Linked DNA regions of Saccharomyces cerevisiae S288C. The protein of the gene in region 4 purifies or fractionates together with the protein of the main gene of each other region. This does not show direct contact. Each region holds a gene or a part of one and is shown on either strand. Other genes may lie near its edges.

Evidence for each region.
Region 1: the proteins of BRX1 (region 4) and PUF6 purify together in Saccharomyces cerevisiae (affinity purification with western blotting; 4 studies listed by BioGRID, with this or other methods). This does not show direct contact.
Region 2: the proteins of BRX1 (region 4) and RLP7 purify together in Saccharomyces cerevisiae (affinity purification with mass spectrometry; 4 studies listed by BioGRID). This does not show direct contact.
Region 3: the proteins of BRX1 (region 4) and HAS1 purify together in Saccharomyces cerevisiae (affinity purification with mass spectrometry; 4 studies listed by BioGRID). This does not show direct contact.

The regions. Positions count from the first base shown.
Region 1 is NC_001136.10:1,440,265-1,446,199, forward strand, and holds PUF6 (Puf6p), read right to left. Parts: upstream 3,140-5,935; coding exon 1,169-3,139; downstream 1-1,168. Other genes in the region: CORVET complex subunit VPS3, read right to left, coding at 1-886; myo-inositol transporter ITR1, read right to left, coding at 3,449-5,203; SEC20 (Sec20p), read right to left, coding at 5,579-5,935. UniProt on the Saccharomyces cerevisiae protein: RNA-binding protein involved in post-transcriptional regulation. Component of the ASH1 mRNP which transports the ASH1 mRNA to the distal tip of the bud, where the ASH1 protein is translated and targeted to the daughter cell nucleus.
Region 2 is NC_001146.8:623,880-628,855, reverse strand, and holds RLP7 (Rlp7p), read left to right. Parts: upstream 1-1,713; coding exon 1,714-2,682; downstream 2,683-4,976. Other genes in the region: ribosome dissociation factor DOM34, read right to left, coding at 240-1,400; PET8 (Pet8p), read left to right, coding at 3,027-3,881; HRB1 (mRNA-binding protein), read right to left, coding at 4,235-4,976. UniProt on the Saccharomyces cerevisiae protein: Involved in the biogenesis of the 60S ribosomal subunit. May act as a specificity factor that binds precursor rRNAs and tethers the enzymes that carry out the early 5' to 3' exonucleolytic reactions that generate the mature rRNAs.
Region 3 is NC_001145.3:848,834-854,477, forward strand, and holds HAS1 (ATP-dependent RNA helicase HAS1), read right to left. Parts: upstream 2,759-5,644; coding exon 1,241-2,758; downstream 1-1,240. Other genes in the region: aminodeoxychorismate lyase ABZ2, read left to right, coding at 1-976; protein kinase TDA1, read left to right, coding at 3,797-5,557. UniProt on the Saccharomyces cerevisiae protein: ATP-dependent RNA helicase involved in 40S ribosomal subunit biogenesis. Required for the processing and cleavage of 35S pre-rRNA at sites A0, A1, and A2, leading to mature 18S rRNA.
Region 4 is NC_001147.6:184,060-188,874, forward strand, and holds BRX1 (ribosome biogenesis protein BRX1), read right to left. Parts: upstream 2,665-4,815; coding exon 1,789-2,664; downstream 1-1,788. Other genes in the region: AVO1 (Avo1p), read left to right, coding at 1-1,153; ATP19 (F1F0 ATP synthase subunit k), read left to right, coding at 1,379-1,585; MDM20 (Mdm20p), read left to right, coding at 2,965-4,815. UniProt on the Saccharomyces cerevisiae protein: Required for biogenesis of the 60S ribosomal subunit.

The DNA.
Region 1 (5,935 bases), on a different chromosome or scaffold from region 4:
AACTATTTAACTTCGAAACCATTAATGTTTCTTCGTGCGCACAAGCTTTATCTATTAGTTTGAAATTAAAAGCTTTGGTAAGTACTAATGAATCTGCAGATATTTTGAGTAGTCTTACGCCTTCTGCGTGAAATGCATATATTCTATAAGCCTTCGAGCTTCGGGAAAAATTACAAATAACGACATCACTAATACCTTTAAGTCTAGTTGTGTTGGGCCTTGGTGCAAATTCTGGGAGAATAAATAAAACTAGTTCGTTATCACATAATATTAGTGCGCCTTCTACTTTAGGTAAAAGAAGGATTTTGTCTATCTTCGAATTTGATTCTGCATCAAACTTTGTTTGCGACACAAGCATATAGTTTCCACGTTCAAGTTCAAAGTAATGTAAAAGATCACCTGTAGTTGTTCCCAAGAATATGTGGTTCTCATACGCCTCACAACATGTGTATATCAAGTCAGATGGTACATTGTCTAATAGGGTAGAGATTGTAAAAGGACCTTCGCTTATTTTCAGTGGCAACCCTTTTTCCTGTTCATCATTCGTGGAGGTTTTTTCATTTAAGCTTGTAATATCTGTATTTATGACATTATCTTCTGCGCTGCTAGGCTGACAGCTTTCTTGTGCTGTGTTTTTATCAGTATGTGGACTGTCTTCGATTGGTCGACTCTCTTCCTGGGAAAATTTATCAGCTCGTACTGTTTCATTTGGGTTAGCATTATGTGTATTCGTCTCTTCACTTTCTGTTGCACGTAGACTATCATCTTCTGTTTTTTTTTTGTCATTTTCTCTTTCGTGAGGTGAGGATTCGCTATCTATATCGAGCTTTCCTTCATTTTCCTTTACTTCTTTTCCTTTGTCATTATTCGTTTTCTTTTTTACCATGGTTCTATAATATTATGGTTGCAACCAAAAAAAGGTAGTCTCCTTGACTGTTATGATAGTTCTGATTCACTAATGTCGTTATAAAATAGTAAGTACATATGAATATTTCCAGTTAAACTTGCCTTTTTTTCCCATCGGAACGGTATCTTCAACAGATATTATGCGATGTAAGGAGTTTTTAGGAGACAATTATATATACCTGCACTTTCAATGAGATCAAGCTTTTTATTATTATTGTACAGATGCTTATATACCAAATATTGTGACTTTATCGTAGAAAATTTATTTTAACAATTTAGCCAAAAGCTGAGAGCCTTTGTTACTTTCATCAGTGGTGATTTTACTCTGAACTCCTCTCAAATCCTTCAAAAATGGTTTCCCTTCTTTTTGATCTTTTAACGTTTCATACAGTGCAACAATTGTAAATGAACTATCAGCGTTATTAATCCATTCTAACAAGTTGGAGGAGTCAATAATTTCATCGTATAACTTTTCAGCAAATGGAACGCCTAAGCCTTGAACATTTTTTAATGGTATGACCTTTTTTTCTTTGTTATTCCATTTACCACCTTGAATTAGTGCCTTTAATAGTCTAGTAGAAAATGCTCTATGTATTGGGTGCTCTTCTTCGGTTATGTCACCCTTAAAAGTAGTTAAAATGTTGTTTAAGACCTGTTGATACTTTTCTTGGTCTTTTTCATTCAGCTGCGCGTACAACTCATCGTTTATTAGAACTTCGGCAATGAACTGACAGCCTAGATTCTCTGTCAATATACTGGAATAATCTTTTGATATAGTGCTTAAAAACATGGGGGCGAATTTTGACAAAAGTTCGTGCCTTCTTTGTAAAGGATCCTTCTTAGAGGTGGCTTTGGACAGTTCAATGTATCTCAATAATTCATTCTTGACGATAGGTGAGAAATACTTACCGTCCAAACCTAATAGTATGTATAACCAAGGCCTTCTACCAAACTTATCAATTATGAATTCTTGCAAATGTTCCTTAACAGTAGGACTGAAAGTCTTGAATACTAAAACTGTATCGTCAACACAGTTCAGAATTGTAATGAAGACAATATTACCGTACTCATTTTTGATCAATTTTTCGGCGTGGTTTTTCAAAGCCTTTAAAATTAACTTTCTTTCCTTGGCGTTAGCTCTAGCAACCAAAGTACAAGCAACGTCTGAACCTTCTGGAGTATGCACCAATTCAGCGAATTGTTCATGAAGCAATTCGATCATTTCAGATATTTCCTTTTCGTTGGCTATTTTCACATATTCTCTCATAGCAGCATGTAGAATTTGAAAGCCGGTGGAACCCTTTTCTACTGATGCGGTAATGGTACCAATCAAGTTTCTGGCGATAATATTCCTTTTTTCAATGCTACTTTCACAAACTTTCTCAATGGTCAAATCTTTGTGGGTTTCTCTAAATACAGCATATTCAGAGCCCCAAAACTCTTTAATCATTTGTTGTCTTTGTTCATGTGTGGCATAAAGAACAAATAAATCTTCAACAACGTAGGCACCCTCACGATGTCTCATTAATTTTCTCAAAGAACCGTGTAATTCATTTATTATAGTTTGCCTTGAACTTCTTGAACCATAATGCAGTAACTTAACCAATAGATACTTACCGTACGCAGATGTGGCTAGAACATAAAATTTTCCCTTTAAAGCATCGACAATTTGTTCACGACGATCTTTGGACGAATACTTGACTAAAGTTTGAACAATACGGGAAGCATCATGCTTTAAGACAAGATCACTGATACAGTCCTTAGATAGCTCCCAGATTTCGTTGGAAAGTTTTTCACGAATCTGTTTTGGTAAAGGTGGGGTCTTCACACGCAATCTTTCCCAGACGGATTTAATTTGTTGCACTTGGGTACCAGATTTTCTTTGCATTTTCCTTTCTTTTAGCAGTTTTCTTTGTTCAGTGTGATTTCCATTTTCACCTCCTTCAGATTTGTCCTTTCCTTCTTTCTCTTCATTCTCATTTTCATGTTCCTCACTGTCATCGGAAATATCTAATTCGTCAGCTTCTTCTTCTGCTTCAGAGTCACTGGTACTTAAATCATCCAAATCATCATCATCTGATGAAGAGGATACAGCATCTTCCTTTTTGGATAGTTCTGATTCTTCATCAGACGAATCAATAGAAATTCTAGGTTTTTTGGCTAATTTCTTTTCTGAATGACTAACTTCTTTAGCAGAACGTTTTCCGTTTGTCTTCTTGGTTAAAGGTGCCATTGTCAGTTAATTTGTTATTCCTGATTGTGCTTTATTTCAGTACTCTATAATAAAACGCTTTCACCTTCGAAATACTTTAGGTAGGCATCTCATCTCATCCCAGCAAAAAAAATTTTCAGTATTTCTCTCAAGGTGAAAAAAAAAAAAGGTCTTCAATGCCGGGTTAGTTAATCTTCTATATATGCATACAACAATTAGTTCGACTTAAATACAATGAACTTTTTTCTATCTTGTAATTTATTTTTATTTATTTTCTACTATGTATTTGAATATTCAATTGCGTCTCCTTCCTTTTACCTCGTGAAAGGACTATATATCCTCTATAATCTCTTGAGTTGGTTCATATTTCAATTCATGAACTCTGGCAACTTGCTGTTTTCTCTTCTTGGCCAAAGCTTTCGAGGCTTTGATGTTGAACCCGTCCTTCAAAATAGTTTGTACCTCTTCTAACTCCAATCCCGATAATTCTGGATAACAGAAGTAGCAGAAAATGGTTGATAAGCACGACAATCCCGCGAAAAAGGCAAATGTACCTGCAGGAGTGATATTCTGTAACATGGTCAAAAATGTGGATGCAATAACCAGTGAACCAGCCCAGTTTGTAGCAGTTGCATATGAAGTCCCAATACCTCTCACGTTTTGGGGGAATAGTTCCGATTGTTGCCATGGAACAGTACCGATACCAAGAGCGTAGAACGCAGCAAATACGATAATAAATACGATGATCACAATACCCCAAGAGGAGAAACCGGAGGAAACCACCACAGCGACAGCGCCATCAAACTTAATACCTAGAAAATGGAAAGCAATAGAGCACACGACTAAAGCCATGGTCATGCCTGGTAATCCAATCAATAATATGGTTCTACGGCCTATTTTGTCAATGGAAAAAAAGGCAACTAAAGTGAAAATAAAATTGGTACCGGACACGATGATTGAAACAGCGGAAGAATTTTTGAAACCGACAGTTTCGAAGATGGTACCAGAGAAATACATCAACGAATTCCAACCGGTAAACTGTTGAATTGCTTGTAAACCACAACCAATGATCAAAGCCCTTAGATTAGATGGTACTGTGTGCAATTCTTTGATGGTATTCCAGACTTTTTCAGGGACATTCTTACCAGGAATAGATTGATTCAAAGTAACAAGTTCTTCCACCTTACGTTCAATGATTTCCTCCGAAGTGTCAGTGTAACTTCTCTTCAACACCTCAGTAGCCCTTGCCAAGTCGCCCTTCATAACGTAGTATCTTGGAGTGTCAGGTAAAAAGCACAGGCATGTGAATTGCACAGCAGTGGGAATTAGTGACAATCCAACAAGAATTCTCCAACCATTGTTGACGTAGTTTAACCCAGCACCGCAACCGTAAGCGACTAATTGACCACCAGTCAACCATAAGGAATTGATGACAGTTAGTCTCCCTCTGATCATTTTGGGAGCAATTTCACTGATGAAAAGTGGCGCGATCAAGGAGCCGATACCGACACCGAAACCCATGATCAGTCTACCAACAGCCATTTGCCAGAATGTGTGTGCGGAGACCTGTAAGATTGCGCCAATGACAAACATCAGATTCGAACCCATTAAACAACGTTTCCTACCAAATATGTCAGCTGCAGTACCGGCGAAAATACTGGTAATCAAAGCTCCCAGAGAGGTAGCCGCAGTGACAATTTCCTTCTCCCCATAAGTAAGTACCTTGTGGTCCAGATCTGTGCCGATCGAGATCAGCGCACTGGATATATAACCAGTGTCGTAACCAAACATGAAACCGGATATGGATGCGACAAAAGTCAGAGTGATGATGAAGGGCGAAAGAGATTGGTTAAAAGTGATCATGACCGACGTGTCATCCTCGTCGTTCACGGGTTTAATTTGAATCCTATCTTCATCATCGCTAGCGGGAGCCCTCTGTATTTCATGTGACTCAAGTGTAATTTTACCTCTCTTTGAAGGTGAGTCATGCTCACTGTTGAACTCTACACTATCAGCGTTGCCAACGGCATCACCAACATTTGATTGCGATGTCTTTGACGTGAGATATGGTATGTGTATTCCCATTTTAACACCCACTGCAGAAACAAAGAAAATGAAAGAGATGTATACAGTAGGACGACCAATAAATCTGAATAGCGCACCAAACTGAAAGAGAAGAATAGAGCAAACACCTGCCAAAGAAAAGCCCAAGTGTGAAAGGTCTTTTCTCAACTATGGCTTGATTCCTTTTATATTTTTTCCATTTTGCAACAGCGCGTTGAGCTTGGTCGAGCTTTTTTCACATGCGGTGGGGAAGGCGTATTTAGCGCAACCAGTGGGGGGTATAAGCTATACCTAACGCATGTGAAGAGAACAGAAACAATGGTGAGAGAAAATAAATGGAGAGGATGGAGAGAACTAAGTATATGCGCTTATTATGTTATATAGATGTTAAAATTATCATAGCTCATCATGTGAGACGATCCTGTCCACGGCCTCATCGACAGCCCGCTGGATACTACTGACGGCTGATACAGATGCGAATGGTTCCACAGAGGTTGCTGAGGATGTAGTTGTAGTGGCTAGAATGGGTGCATTTAGCACAAGACTGGGTGCTTGAAGAGAGGACGAGGAGCCTGCATAGCTTTTAACTAGACCTAGGGTGACGAGTATACCCTTGAAAAACTTGAATAGCAGCCAGAGGCCGAGTTTAACAGGTAACTTGAAAATACGACGCCATAGAACCCACGAGACGCAGCATAGGAGGAACCCAAGTGATAAATAGACATCTCGTTTCTCTTGATGGGAGGCATTTTC
Region 2 (4,976 bases), on a different chromosome or scaffold from region 4:
ATACATAAATAAATTTTAACATTAATATATAAAAAAATAATAAAAAAATGTATATTTTTTAAAATGTTTTAAAATATTTTTAAAAAGCTGCACGTGACTAACTAGAACCATTTCACAACAACTCAATTAATTGCGGCTTCACATCTACTTGCTTATAGGGAAGAAGTAAAGAGAATAATCCGATTTATTATAGGGTTGCAAATTTTATGTGTACATTACTTTTTTCTTACATAGTAAATCTACTCCTCACCATCGTCTTCATCAAGATCGGGGAGCGGGTATTTTAGAATACAGGCTATACCCGTCAATTGATCAAGTTCTTCTCCAAGAGAATGCAAAGTACTTAATACCAATGCTTTTCCTCCATTGCTCTCTACGGAGTCCATCAGTTTCAAATATTCCTCTCTTTGTGCAATATTGTCTGAATGCAAAACTTTATCTGTTAACAGTAAATAACTAATTGCGCCATACTCAGCCGCTTTAACTACCTCTTTTTCACCATACCAAGCTTTATCATCATCCTTGTTTAAATGCAACAAAAATTCATCCATCACCATGATTTCTTTGGAGTATTTAGTATCTTGCAGCTTTGAAGCATATAGTGGATTTTTCAAAACTTCATTAATGCCCTGTAAGTAGCCCGTGGAGCAGTGGGCTATAAAGAACATTCCTTTGTTATCGAGTATTTTCTTATTGTGTTCCTCTTCGGCATACTGGAAAATTTTGTCCATTAATATCTTAGCGTAGAAACCTGGAGAGCAAAGAATAATAGTCTTTAATTTATCAAAATTCAAATCTTTCTTCATTGCACTGTAAATTGCTTTATAAAATTTCTCAGTTTTTTCATCAAACTTCAGTACATCAGTAGTCCTTTTCTTTTTTGGCATACTATATTCAATTTTTTGTTTTAAAATAGTAGAGGAGGATGTCACTAAACAAACATGGGCGATCCCTTCCTGTAAAACGACCGCCGCGGTGTCTGATTTATACTCGATATTACAGGCTTCATTTAAGAGCTTTTGCATGAATTTATTAAAGTTTTGTTTTATGATAGTAAAGGGATACACGTAGTCAAGGGTAAAGCTCAAATATTTGCCGACAGGTATGTCAACATTACTAGCTCCACTTTCATCTGTAACAGTAACACCTTTATATTTCAAATATTCATCCTTCATATCAAAATCCTCGGATATTACTTTAATCTTCAACTTGACCAAATCTGTACTTTTTTTCTTACCAGCTTCATCAAGTTTAGAGGTGAATTTTTTCTTGAATATCAACTCGTCATCTTTGTCTACTATTTGATAAACAGTAAACAGATCTTCCTTGTCCTCCGGTAAAAGAGTAATCACTGCTCCTCCTTTGTTAAAAGAATCCTTTTTCAGACTAATAACCTTCATATTTTTGCTATGATAGGAATGCGATAATTGAACAAAATGACAACGATGCAGCAACGAATGCTTAATTTTTTGGGATCTTCATTAAATTACATTTTACATTAATATACAAAACTAGGTGAATATTGAATAATGTATGTACACTTTCATCACGCAGTACGGATTTTTGGTAAAAAGAAAATTTTTTTCAGCTCTGCTTAAAAAAAGCTGGGAAGCGATGAGATGAGAAAAGTCTAAGTTGTTTGGTACTTTCGTTATTAAGTTCCTAGAAAGAAGAGGCTGCCACAGGGAAAAAGAATAAGATATACAAGTCACAATGTCTTCAACTCAAGACAGTAAAGCGCAAACTCTTAATTCTAATCCAGAAATTCTTTTGAGGAAAAGAAGAAATGCTGATAGAACTAGAATCGAAAGACAAGAATTAGCTAAGAAAAAGAGGGAAGAACAAATCAAAAAAAAGAGAAGTAATAAGAACAAATTTGTCAGAGCTGAAAGTATAGTTGCAAAGACTTTGGCTACCTCTAGGGAAAAGGAAAGAATTAAAAGAGTGTCTATATTAGAAGATAAGAAGGCAAAGAATGAAACGCAGCATATTGCATCTGGGAAAGATTTTATTCTGAAAATAACAGAAAAAGCTAATGGCGCCGAAGAGAACTCTGTCGACTTGGAGGAGACTGAAGAAGAAGAAGACGATGGTTTAATCAGAGAAAAGACTACTTACGATGGCAAACCTGCTTTACTTTTCATTGTCAGAGTAAGAGGTCCGCTTGCTGTAAATATTCCAAACAAAGCATTTAAGATTTTGTCTTTGCTAAGATTAGTTGAAACTAATACTGGTGTTTTCGTCAAATTGACCAAAAACGTATATCCGTTGCTCAAGGTTATTGCGCCATACGTAGTGATTGGCAAGCCTTCTTTATCTTCTATCCGTTCCTTGATTCAAAAGAGAGGTAGAATAATCTATAAGGGTGAGAATGAGGCTGAACCTCACGAAATAGTTCTTAATGACAACAATATTGTCGAGGAGCAATTAGGAGATCATGGAATAATTTGTGTTGAAGATATTATTCATGAGATTGCCACTATGGGTGAGTCTTTTTCTGTTTGTAACTTCTTCTTACAACCATTCAAGTTGAATAGAGAAGTATCTGGATTTGGTTCTTTGAATAGGCTAAGGAAAATAAAACAGCGGGAGGCTGAATCAAGAACTCGTCAATTTTCAAATGCAGCTACAGCACCAGTTATCGAAGTTGACATTGACTCTTTATTAGCCAAGTTGAATTAATTAAGAGAGTATTTTAAAATTGTATAGTACATAGGTTGTTAGTTATCTAATGCCATTGAAGGAGCAGATATTGAGCTTTTGCATATAATTAGTGGTGCCTCATGGATTGAAGAATATACGTATTTTGGCAAGTTTATTGGTTTTTAGTTTATGTATCGGCAAAAGCACGGGCGCCTCTTTTTTTCCTCGCTTACTGAGCGCTGTTTTGTATATAAATACATTTGCAGTGGGGTGCACCCTCGAGAATATATGAGATCATTAAAGCTCCACTTGTTGTAAATTGTTTGGCGATTTTATATGTTTAGACACACCGATGAACTAAAATTCGCTTTGAAAAGTTTGCTATGAATACTTTTTTTCTTTCCTTGCTAAGTGGCGCCGCTGCTGGTACCTCTACGGATTTGGTTTTTTTCCCTATAGACACAATTAAAACCAGGCTTCAAGCTAAGGGTGGATTCTTTGCTAATGGAGGATACAAAGGCATATATCGTGGTTTGGGAAGCGCTGTTGTAGCATCGGCGCCAGGTGCTTCACTTTTCTTTATTAGTTATGATTATATGAAAGTAAAATCAAGGCCATATATCAGCAAACTTTACTCACAGGGATCTGAGCAATTGATTGATACGACAACGCACATGCTTTCCTCTTCCATTGGTGAAATTTGTGCTTGTCTTGTTCGAGTTCCCGCAGAAGTCGTTAAGCAAAGGACGCAAGTTCACTCTACCAATTCTTCCTGGCAGACTTTACAGTCAATTCTACGAAATGACAATAAGGAAGGTTTAAGGAAAAATCTTTATAGAGGGTGGTCTACCACCATTATGAGAGAAATACCGTTTACTTGTATACAGTTTCCTTTATACGAGTATCTAAAAAAGACTTGGGCAAAAGCCAATGGCCAAAGTCAAGTGGAGCCATGGAAAGGGGCTATCTGCGGTTCTATTGCGGGTGGGATCGCAGCAGCTACAACGACACCATTAGATTTCTTGAAAACCAGATTAATGCTCAACAAAACAACCGCCTCACTTGGAAGCGTTATTATTAGGATTTACAGAGAGGAAGGTCCTGCTGTATTTTTCAGTGGAGTGGGGCCCCGGACAATGTGGATCAGTGCAGGTGGTGCTATCTTCCTAGGCATGTATGAAACTGTTCATTCGTTATTATCGAAAAGTTTCCCAACGGCTGGAGAAATGAGAGCGTAATGAAAACATAGAGCAAAAGCAACTACCAGTTGTAAGAGGTAGATCGTTTACGTACTTTACGTAAGCCTTCTGAGGCCTCTTGTCTGTTGTTTATTTTTTGTTATTCATATAAAAAAGTCGTCTATTTACGATATCTGTTCAAAGTACTTTTTTGGATATTTGTTAAACCCATTTTCACTGTATTGGAAAAATCAGACTCTTTTCACAGTCTTCTTCAAAGTCTTCGAAATTTTTTCAGATTATACGTATACACAATGACATTATAAAGTTAAAAAGCCTGGAAATAAGTCAAGAATGAATAAATACTTGTCGCAGATCCAATAGGTGAGAAAGTATATAGATCGAGAGTAGTTCTAGAGGCGTTTAGCGTACGATATATCCAAATCACAACCCCCATAGTTATAATTATTCAATCTTTCAATACAAACATCTGCATCATCGACGTTATCGTATTCAACGACAGCTATTCCAGTTGGTGCCCCTTTGGAATCATACCTTAATTCAGCATTGTTAACCTTTCCGATTGTCTCGAAAAGGTCGTAAAGATCACTTTTTGCAGTTGAAAATGGCAAATTACTGCAATATATGAGTCTATTTCTTTCACCTCCACCGACAACGTTTTCGGTAAATTTTCGAGCTTCTTCGTTAACGGGAGAATCATCCATTGGGATATCAACATCGTCTCCATCACTGTGGTTATGTACGCTTTCCTTAGACTTGACATCCAAGACGTTACCCTCTATACTATAACCGTTGTATTTCTCAATCGCTCTATGCAGATCTTTAATATCATAAAAGGACACCGTACCAGATCCAGTGGATACTCCATCGCCATCCAATTCCACATCAGCGTGTGCGACATTCCCACATTCCTTGAATATGTCTTTCAAAGCCTGCCAATTAACGGAAGCAGGTAAATTTTTTACAATAACTTCATGTGTTTTTCGGTTATGTCTAAGCTCTCCTCTATCGAGTGCTTTCCTTTCCTTGATATTGTTTGACGGTGGTGGATTATCTTGCCTGACGAAGATTTTACGATCCATGAAGAAGGCCCCATCGTACTGGCGGATGGCCCTGTCAACATCATCCGAATTA
Region 3 (5,644 bases), on a different chromosome or scaffold from region 4:
TCCAGACCCTCGATTAGGTTTGAGAGACGAAGATATTAGGCAGCAGATAATTAATGAGGATTACTCAAGTTATTTACGAGTAAGGGAGGTTAATTCCGGCGGTGACCTTCTCGAAAATATTCAGCATCCTGATGCTTGGAAGCATGATTGCAAGACCATTGTGTGCCAGCGTGTAGAAGATATGCTACAAGTCATTTATGAACGATTTTTTTTATTAGATGAACAATACCAAAGAATAAGAATAGCATTATCATACTTTAAAATTGACTTCAGCACGTCTCTGAATGATTTATTGAAGTTATTGGTTGAAAACTTGATTAATTGTAAAGAAGGAAATTCAGAGTATCACGAAAAAATTCAAAAAATGATCAACGAAAGGCAATGCTATAAAATGCGGGTACTTGTCTCTAAGACAGGAGATATACGAATTGAGGCAATTCCAATGCCTATGGAGCCTATCCTAAAATTAACAACCGATTATGACAGTGTTTCCACATACTTCATCAAAACGATGCTCAATGGATTTTTAATTGATAGCACAATAAATTGGGATGTTGTTGTTTCATCTGAACCATTGAACGCATCAGCTTTCACCAGTTTTAAAACCACTTCAAGAGATCATTACGCTAGGGCGAGAGTTCGCATGCAAACTGCTATAAATAACTTAAGAGGTTCAGAACCTACTTCTTCTGTCTCGCAATGCGAAATTTTATTTTCCAACAAATCTGGCCTGCTGATGGAAGGTTCAATAACAAACGTGGCTGTAATTCAAAAAGATCCTAACGGTTCTAAAAAGTATGTGACACCAAGATTAGCAACTGGATGTTTGTGCGGAACAATGCGTCATTATTTATTGCGGCTCGGCCTTATTGAAGAGGGAGATATAGATATAGGAAGCCTTACCGTTGGCAACGAAGTTTTGCTTTTCAATGGCGTCATGGGATGCATAAAGGGAACAGTGAAGACAAAATATTGAGCAGACGACAGATTTTCATATCAATGAAGTTTTTTTACAATAGTTTACAAATCATGATTTTACATACTCAAATATGTGCAGGTTGATACAGACAACGTACGTAGAAGACAACAAACAGAAAACAGCGGTTTATACATTTATTTAAATGACATACAGTGGAGAAGCAGAGAAAGGAAAAGGAGTGCGATGAGAACAGAAGATGAATACTTCGGTTGTGTTGGTTCCACGTACACATTAATAGCATTAAAAATTGATCCTCTGAAATTACTTATGAGTTTTACGTCTTTTGGTATTTGGCGTTTTTCCACTGGCACCAATTGTAATGTTAACCTTTGGAGGGACTGGAAAACCGTAAGACTTTGCTACTTTGGCTAAATCCAGCTTATCGATTTGATAGACAGTTTTCAAAGAGTGGGAAGCGTACGCTTGTAAATAAGATCTATAACCATCCTTGGCTGTTTGATGTAGATAATAGTTGGATTTAATTAATTTTTCTAATTGTGATTGAACGTTTGCAATTTTGTTTTCCGGGAATTCGTACTCATTTAATGGGACCTTGGAAGCCTTTAGATATCTTAAAAACCCTAATTCATTAGGTGTTAAAAACATTAAAGATTTACCCTTACCTTTAGTGCCTCTTGCGGTTCTTCCGACTCTATGAATATAATCTCTTGGATCATCAGGAGGGTCGAATTGAATGATCCAGTCCACAGCAGGGATATCTAGCCCTCTAGCTGCGACATCTGTACAAATCAAGATACCTCTTTCCGCATTACAGAATTCGAAAAATGTATTTGTTCTCTTTTGTTGTTTTTGCTTACCGTGTAATTCGAGGACTGGCAAATCAATATAGTTCAATAATTCAGCGTAATATTTCACAGAGTTACAAGATGATAAAAATACAATAATTTTCTTTTTTTGATTTCTTTTCAAGAAAGAAAATAACAACAAAAATCTCTTATCACTGTCACATACCACATAGCCTTGTTCTAATCCATCTGCGGTGGAGTTGTCGGTTTCAGGAACGACATTAATGAAAAGAGGGCCCGGTCTCAGCGAGATTCTAGCCAAATCCTCAACTTTGGTCGTTTGTGTAGCTGAAAATAACATGGATTGCCTATCTTCGTTTGGCAAGATCTTAATTATCTGCCTCATTTCATCTTCAAACCCAATTTCTAAGATTCTGTCCGCTTCATCGATAATCAAAGCCTTCAAGTTCTTGAATACAAATCCTTTTGTATTTTGTAAGTGATCCAATAATCTTCCAGGGGTAGCAATCAACATGTTAACACCTTTCATCAATTTTTCGGCTTCCTGTCTTCTATTTGCACCACCAATGACAATACCAAATGTCTGTGAATGGAATTCCATTAACTCTCTTGCCACTCCAAAAATCTGTAAAGCCAACTCTCTTGTAGGCGTAATGACAATTATACCGGTACCATTTCTTGGTTTGAATTTCAAAGAATGCAATAGTTCAATAGCAGGGATGAGAAACGCTAGAGTTTTACCAGAACCTGTCTTGGCAGCACCAAGAACATCCCTACCGGCCAAAAGAGGTGGGATAGTCCTTGCCTGAACAGAAGTCATAGTGGTAAATCCCATCTTTTCAATGGCCTTTAAAGTTGGCTGTGATAACTTTAGTTCTTCGAACTTTTCCACACAAGTAGTTTGTTCTCCCTCAGGTGCGGCATTGTTTTGTTTTGAAGTGCTCTTTTCATCTACTACAGGTTCTTCTGTAGATTCAGAATCTCTAGAACGTTTATTTGACGGGGTAGCCATACTTCTCCTGTTAATATTGCTCAGCTTATCTAATTATTATAGTATACAGTTATCCAATAGCTATGTACTCAAGTACCGTGTATACACTATAAAATCTCATCTCATCGCTAAAGCTAATATTGAAAAAAAAAAAAAAAAAAAAAAGAAAAAGCAAATAAAAAATTTTCAATTCGGGTAACGAAGAATCGACTCTCGCCGGGTAAACAATTCTTAGTCGTCATACACTCCTCTTTACGTTAAGAAAATAGAAGTAGCAGCGCTTTGTAAAGCATTAAAGCGTCATGGATTGCAAAATACACATAATATATCACTTGTGATAGTGAGAAATGGAATGAAGTGGTTTAAGATGCTCTTTTACCAATAAACATATTGCGCCTATCAAATCATTTTCCACCCCTGTTAACTGATACAGATATAGCCTTACATATAACTTTTGCACTCCCTAAAATTACCATGGCTGTTCACCGCCTGCTATCATCCATGTTTTTACATACATCTATTAGGTTTGCCATCTTAGCCGCCGAAGCTATCGTTGCCGGTACAGGCGCTCCTTGAATAACCCCCTCCCCCCCACGCTATTCTTCAAATTCCGATTTCAGCTTCTCTTTGTTTTTCCTTTTTTGGCACCTCGGAAAAACCTCCACGTGTTAGGTTATTCCGCCGATTCCACGGGTGGGGTGCTACCAAGACTCCTGAAAAAGAAACTGTATGACGAAAAGAAAAAAAAAAAGCTGCTTGAATTCCAACACCGCTTTCTTGTTCTGACAATAGAAAGGGGGATTCCTAAAAAAAGAAAAAGAGGGCGGGGTTTATCATGTACTCAGAATATGAAAACGTGTCGAACGGGGATGACTTCTTCTGCTTCTTTACTTCTTTCTATTTAGAGTGACAGTTTTTTTATTTGTTTTGCTAACTTGTTTATTTATTAATTTCTTGTTTGCTCCTTCAGTTACCTACCACGACTGTCTCAGCCAAACCGCGATATTTTCATACAATTGACATTACAACAGTTCAAAAAGAAAAATACACATCCAGGATATGACTACAGCTAGTTCTTCTGCTTCCCAGCTACAACAGCGCCTGCCGGAAGAAAAACCTTGGCCGCAACTGAGTGGCAGCAATGCAGACGCTCAAACCTTCAAATGTAAATACGTAACCAACCACAACTCCTTGGGCGATGGGAATTTTAGCGTCGTGAAAGAATGTATGAATATACACACAAAGGATTTGTACGCGATGAAGCTTATTAAGAAACAAACTGTCAAGAACAAAATTCAACTTATTCAAAGAGAGTTCGACCTTTTGAGGTCAATAAGCGAGAAAATCAGAGATATGGAAAAAAAGAATGAACATTCTTTGGACATTTTTGAGGGGCATCACCATATTTTACAACTTTTCGACTATTTTGAGACGGCAGATAACATTGTCCTGATCACTCAGCTGTGTCAGAAGGGAGATTTGTATGAAAAAATTGTTGAAAATCAGTGTTTAGACCTCGAAACTCAAGTTACCTCGTACTGCGCCTGTTTGGTGAGCGTTCTCGAGTTTTTGCATTCTCAAGGTATTGTTCATAGAGACTTGAAAGCAGAAAACGTCTTATTCAGATTGAGAGTGAACGAAAACGAAAAAAACCTACAGGGTGAACACCACGGAGATTTCAAATACGATCTCTTGGCACACGACCTAGTTCTCGCCGATTTTGGTCTTGCTGCTGAATATAACACAAGTAAGGTAAACTCGTTAAAGGAGTTTGTTGGAACCATCTCGTATATTGCTCCAGAAATCGTCAAGTGCAAAGGTGTCGGTGAAATGACTCCTGATCAAGTTGGCAAACTAGACAAGTATGGTTGTCCGGTGGATATATGGGCCCTTGGTGTACTGACATATTTCATGGCCTTCGGCTATACGCCCTTTGACTGTACCACAGACGACGAAACTCTGGAATGTATTTCAAAATGTGACTATTACGTCGACGAACAAATGATGCACGACCCTAAATACGAACAATTTTGGAATTTTGTTCAATGCTGTTTTACTATTGACCCGGCCGTTAGGCGTTCTGCTAAGAATTTGAAACAGCATCCCTTTATTAAGGATTATTTTGCTACTTCAAATTCTTTGAATACTAAGGACACGCCGAATTTCTCCTTTCATCCAACAATAAGAAGGGTATCTTCTACAGCGTCCATGCACACATTGAGGTCTCCTTCCAAATCAAGAAAGACAACTACTCTAGCGTATTTAAATATGGATGGCGGGTCCTCTGAAACTTCCACCGCCTTCAGCAGCAAGATGGATTTGCCTGACCTTTACGTTGATAGAACCATTAATTCTCGTGAAAGATCATTGAATAGAATTCGAGACACTCTGAAGAAAACATTATCCATGACATCTCTTAAGCCTGCAGGCACATTCGACTATCTTCACGCTAACAAAAACGGTACTTCTTTATCATCATCCAAGTCAGGCCTCGTGAAAAAGAATTCTACTTTTGTCTTGGACCCTAAGCCACCAAAGAATAGCTTGATGAACGGTTGTTTCAGCACCACTCCAGAATCGCGCTCAAATTTCAATACCCCCAAAACCTTATCGAGGCAAGGTTCCTCTACTAGCGTGAAGAAATATGTCAATGAAGTTGACTTACTTTTAACCCCACGTACGGCCTCGATGAGCAGCAATGATACCACAGCCATTAACGATTATGATACTACTAACGATAAGAATCCTGCAAGAAAACACGCAGCTTCATTCCAGGTGAATGTTGATGATTCTGATGGTGATGAAACCATGCAGATATAGTGTTGAATGATAATTCACCTTTTTTTTCTTTCTTTTTTTTTTTACCTGGGACGACATTCTAACTAATGAAATTTACGATTAATTATT
Region 4 (4,815 bases):
TGAAACTGGTGGGGGCCTAATGGATGCTTCTACTTTGGATGCTAACAGCAGTCACGATACAACTGACGGAACCATCAACCAACTAAGTTTCTACAAACCTATTATAGGTAATGAAGACGACATCGATAAGACAAACGGTTCGAAAATCATTGATGTAACAGTATATTTGTATCCTAACGTGAATCCCAAATTTAACTATACTACCATAAGTGTTTTAGTGACCTCACATATAAACGATATTTTGGTAAAATATTGCAAAATGAAAAATATGGATCCTAATGAATATGCATTAAAAGTTCTAGGAAAGAACTATATACTGGACTTGAATGATACGGTATTAAGGCTCGATGGTATTAATAAGGTGGAACTCATCTCTAAAAAAGATGCAAGGGAGTTGCATTTGGAAAAAATGAAACCTGACCTAAAGAAGCCCGTTTTGCCAACGATCCAAAGTAATGATCTAACTCCGTTAACTTTGGAGCCTCTGAACTCTTATCTCAAAGCAGATGCTGGAGGGGCTGTGGCTGCCATTCCTGAAAACACGAAAGTTACATCCAAAGCTAAGAAGATATCCACGAAGTATAAGCTGGGCTTGGCAAAGCAGCATTCGTCATCAAGTGTTGCTAGTGGAAGTGTTTCAACGGCTGGCGGTCTCGCCAATGGAAATGGGTTTTTCAAGAACAAGAATTCATCCAAATCCTCTTTGCATGGGACACTGCAGTTTCATAATATAAACCGTTCTCAGAGTACGATGGAGCACACGCCTGACACTCCAAATGGAGTTGGAGATAACTTCCAAGATCTTTTTACCGGAGCGTATCATAAATATAAGGTATGGAGAAGGCAGCAAATGTCATTTATAAACAAGCATGAAAGAACACTAGCCATTGATGGCGACTACATATACATTGTACCCCCGGAGGGACGTATACATTGGCATGATAATGTAAAGACTAAGTCGTTACACATTAGTCAAGTGGTTCTTGTCAAAAAATCCAAAAGAGTCCCTGAGCATTTCAAAATTTTCGTAAGAAGAGAGGGGCAAGATGATATCAAAAGGTACTACTTTGAAGCAGTTTCAGGTCAAGAGTGTACTGAGATCGTGACGCGATTACAAAACTTATTAAGCGCTTATAGAATGAATCATAAATAAGTAAAACCCATTATACTGCATCTTACCAGCATTAATTTTGGTTTATATCTAAATATGGTATAGAAAATACTTCATCGCGATCTCGATGGTGATTGGTCAGAGTCCGCTTCTCGATGCAAAGGGAAAAAAAAGAGCTTTTTAGGAGCAAGTCCCCCCATAGAGCACATAACTCGTTAGCATTGAATAAGGCCAGGTGACTTCAAATAATAATTTATAACTACGACAATGGGTGCTGCTTATCATTTCATGGGGAAAGCTATCCCTCCACACCAACTAGCCATTGGGACATTAGGACTGCTAGGTTTATTGGTTGTTCCAAATCCTTTTAAAAGCGCAAAGCCAAAAACAGTCGACATCAAAACAGACAACAAAGACGAGGAAAAATTCATTGAAAACTACTTAAAGAAACATTCGGAAAAGCAAGATGCGTAAATATAGCTTGATTGCTGCGCGGTTGAAGATCTTTTGTACATACAATAAATATTCTTTATATATACAGCTTTCGATATTCAAGATTTAAACATTAAATTATTAAAAAGAGGTCTATAACTAGACAGTTGCTACATCCACTCTTTTCTTGTTATATCTTTTTAATATACAATGTTATGTAAAACTCTCTGATAGTATTATGCTTATTATTTAAACAAGGCATCGTTTGATAAAGGATCGGCGGCAAGAACATTCTCTCTTCTCTTAATTTTTCTTTCCACAGCAGCTTCAGCTCTAGACTTTGCCTCCTCAGCAGCTTGTTGTTTAATTTGAGCTCTTACGACGTTTGGCGAAACATATTGTTTATTTTCATAGATCTTTGGACCACCAAATGAACCTTCTAGGATCAAAATGACAGTCATAACAAACCTAGGGCCAATTTCCACTAATGATATGTCTTCTTCGCCATCTTCATATTCTTCTTTGTTCTTAGTACTGTGTGAGATCTCATATGTCCTCACCCATATTTTATCATCTACAATACTGAAGGACATGACGTGATCAATAAATGGCTTAGATTTTCTAGCATTTGGTGGTACACCAAAATTATGCACTAGCAACTCCTTAATTAATTGGTAGTGTGGGGAGGATTCGAAACGTTGATCAAACGACAATACCGGACGAGAACCCTTTAAACAGTTACCTGTAAAATTCAACTCATCCATAGTATGCAAGTTTTGAATGTAAAATTTTATAGTTGGCCCATTTGGCGGCTTGGATAACCATAGATACAAATCTTGGTGTTTTCTGGCCTCAAAGAATAGAACATTATTACAATTGTACAACTCAGCGATTTCGTTCAACTGTTGAAGATCCTTTTTAGTATCCAATTTTGGCTCCTTTCTGGAATGAGGCAATAATCCGCTTAAGTCTTGAATTAAATGACGATGTCTATAGTTAACACCTCTACTCGAAATCAGAAGAGTTCTTTGCTTGTTCATAAATTGCTTGACATTGCCTTGCTTCTTTTCAGATTTATTATCTTTGCTCTTTCCTGCGAGGGCTTTGTAGATAGAAGACATCTTTGGTTGAACTCTTTCAACACCTGACGAATGTATAAAGAAAGACGTGAAGCAAAATAAGGCTAAGTAACCTTCTAACTCGTAAATATTATAGCAATTTCTGTATCTTTTTAGGTGATAGATTCTTTGAGAACCATCGCGATGAGCATCTAAAATTTTTCAGTCACCTTTAACGAAAATCACTGTCCACGGACCGCCGAGGGCTTTAGGAAAATAAATAATAAATGTCAGCTGCAACAGAATTCATTGGCGAAGCAACGATACATAACGAGCTCGGTACAGCAATCATCGCATCGAAGCATGTCCGACAAGATACAGGAGGAGATATTAGGACTAGTAAGCAGGTCCAACTTCAAACAATGCTATGCAAAACTGGGGCAATTGCAAAAACAATTTCCCAATGCGTTGTACTTCAAGATTTTGGAAACCTATGTTAAATTCAAGCAGTCACCTGGTAAGTTCGATTACAATAAACTGCTAGAAGAACCATATGGGCTGAAAGGGACAACGATTACGGGCGACACGCGTTCCTTGGAGTTTTTGCACAACTTCTTCGTAGAGTTAGGGAAATACGACGAAGCATTGCACGTGTATGAAAGAGGAAATTTCAAATTCCCTAGCTACGAATTGTCTTATCACTGGTTTATGAAAGCATTGGAAGATTCCAATTATAACCAAATGAGCAAAGCATCTCTACAGCTAGCTAAATACAGTGACAGTGGAAACCTGCCTAAAAGAGCATATTATTTTTGGAATGCAATCTCGATTTTAGCCGTATCAAGGTTTCAGGAAAACACTCTTTCAGATCCCAAGAAAATTTTGCTCTCCAGGCTAGCGCGCCAGTCTTTGTTAGACTTGAAACCATTTCAAAATGTTCAAGAGATTATAGTTTATTGTTTGGTGTTGGATGAACTATTCCCTCAATCTAGAGAAATCTCGGAAGAGATTGTTGCGATTACCTTTGCCAATTTTGATACTTCAGTAAACTTGTATTTGAAAAACTTTATCTTGAAGCATACCAAGTTATTGAATTCTCCACAAAAACTTTTTGAAGTTTGTTCAAAACTTATTGAAAAGGGCCTTGATGATTATGAATTGATCACAAACTTGATTGATGCTGCCTACAAACTTTCTAAATCTAAAGACGAAGTCAAACAATGGATTGATGAAAATTTGGGAGACTCAAGGAATACTCGATTGGCGCGCTTGAAACTTGATATAATGTACACCGATTCGGTTTCGGAATCATCTTTGTCGTACTATTTATCAAAGTACCATAACAAACCTTGTTGTTCAATCGATTTGAATCATTACAGCGGCCACATTAACATAGATATGCTTAAGAGCATTATGTCTAAGTACGATCCAGAGGATAAGGATTTGATTCATCATTGTAATATTCTAGAATTGGGACTTATTGGAAGCGACTCAATCAATAACTATAACAAGTTTAAGGGGACCCTGGAAAAAAAATCGGTAACGGATTATTCCTCCTGTTCTACATTCTTATTAGAAATAGTCAAGGACAAGTGCAAGAAAACTAATCCTGAATTGAAAGACGTGCTTTTGTGTATAACGATATTGGAAAATTACCAAGCCAAGGACCCTCATAACTTCGATACTATGTGCTGGCTGATTGTTTTATACATGTACCTGGGTTTAGTTCCCGATGCTTATTTCCATTTCATAAACCTAAAGATTAAAAACGTTCAAACAGATTCCCTAGATTACATGATATTCTCGAGATTTTCTACTTTGTTCCCGAATAAACAGAGCGATTTTTACTCCAAGACATTCCATGAACATAATAATTTATACGATACATCACTGGCTAATTTACCAAGATATATTCAGGTGGCATTCGAAAGAAATTCATATAGCAAAATACTAGGAATGCTCGAGATGAGGGATAAACTAATGAAATCCTATACAAGATGGACCAAAACTTTAGAAAACTTACAGTTCTCACGTTTATGCAACGACAAGCGCGGCCACCTACTACAAAAATTACACGAAGATTGGAGATCTTTAGAAATGACGCAAAGTGTATCATTTTCTGACAATAGAGACTTTTCCATATTAGATGAAAATTTTGCCCAATTTCTTAACCGTGGTAAAATTTTGGAATATGCTAACTTGAATGAAGAATCA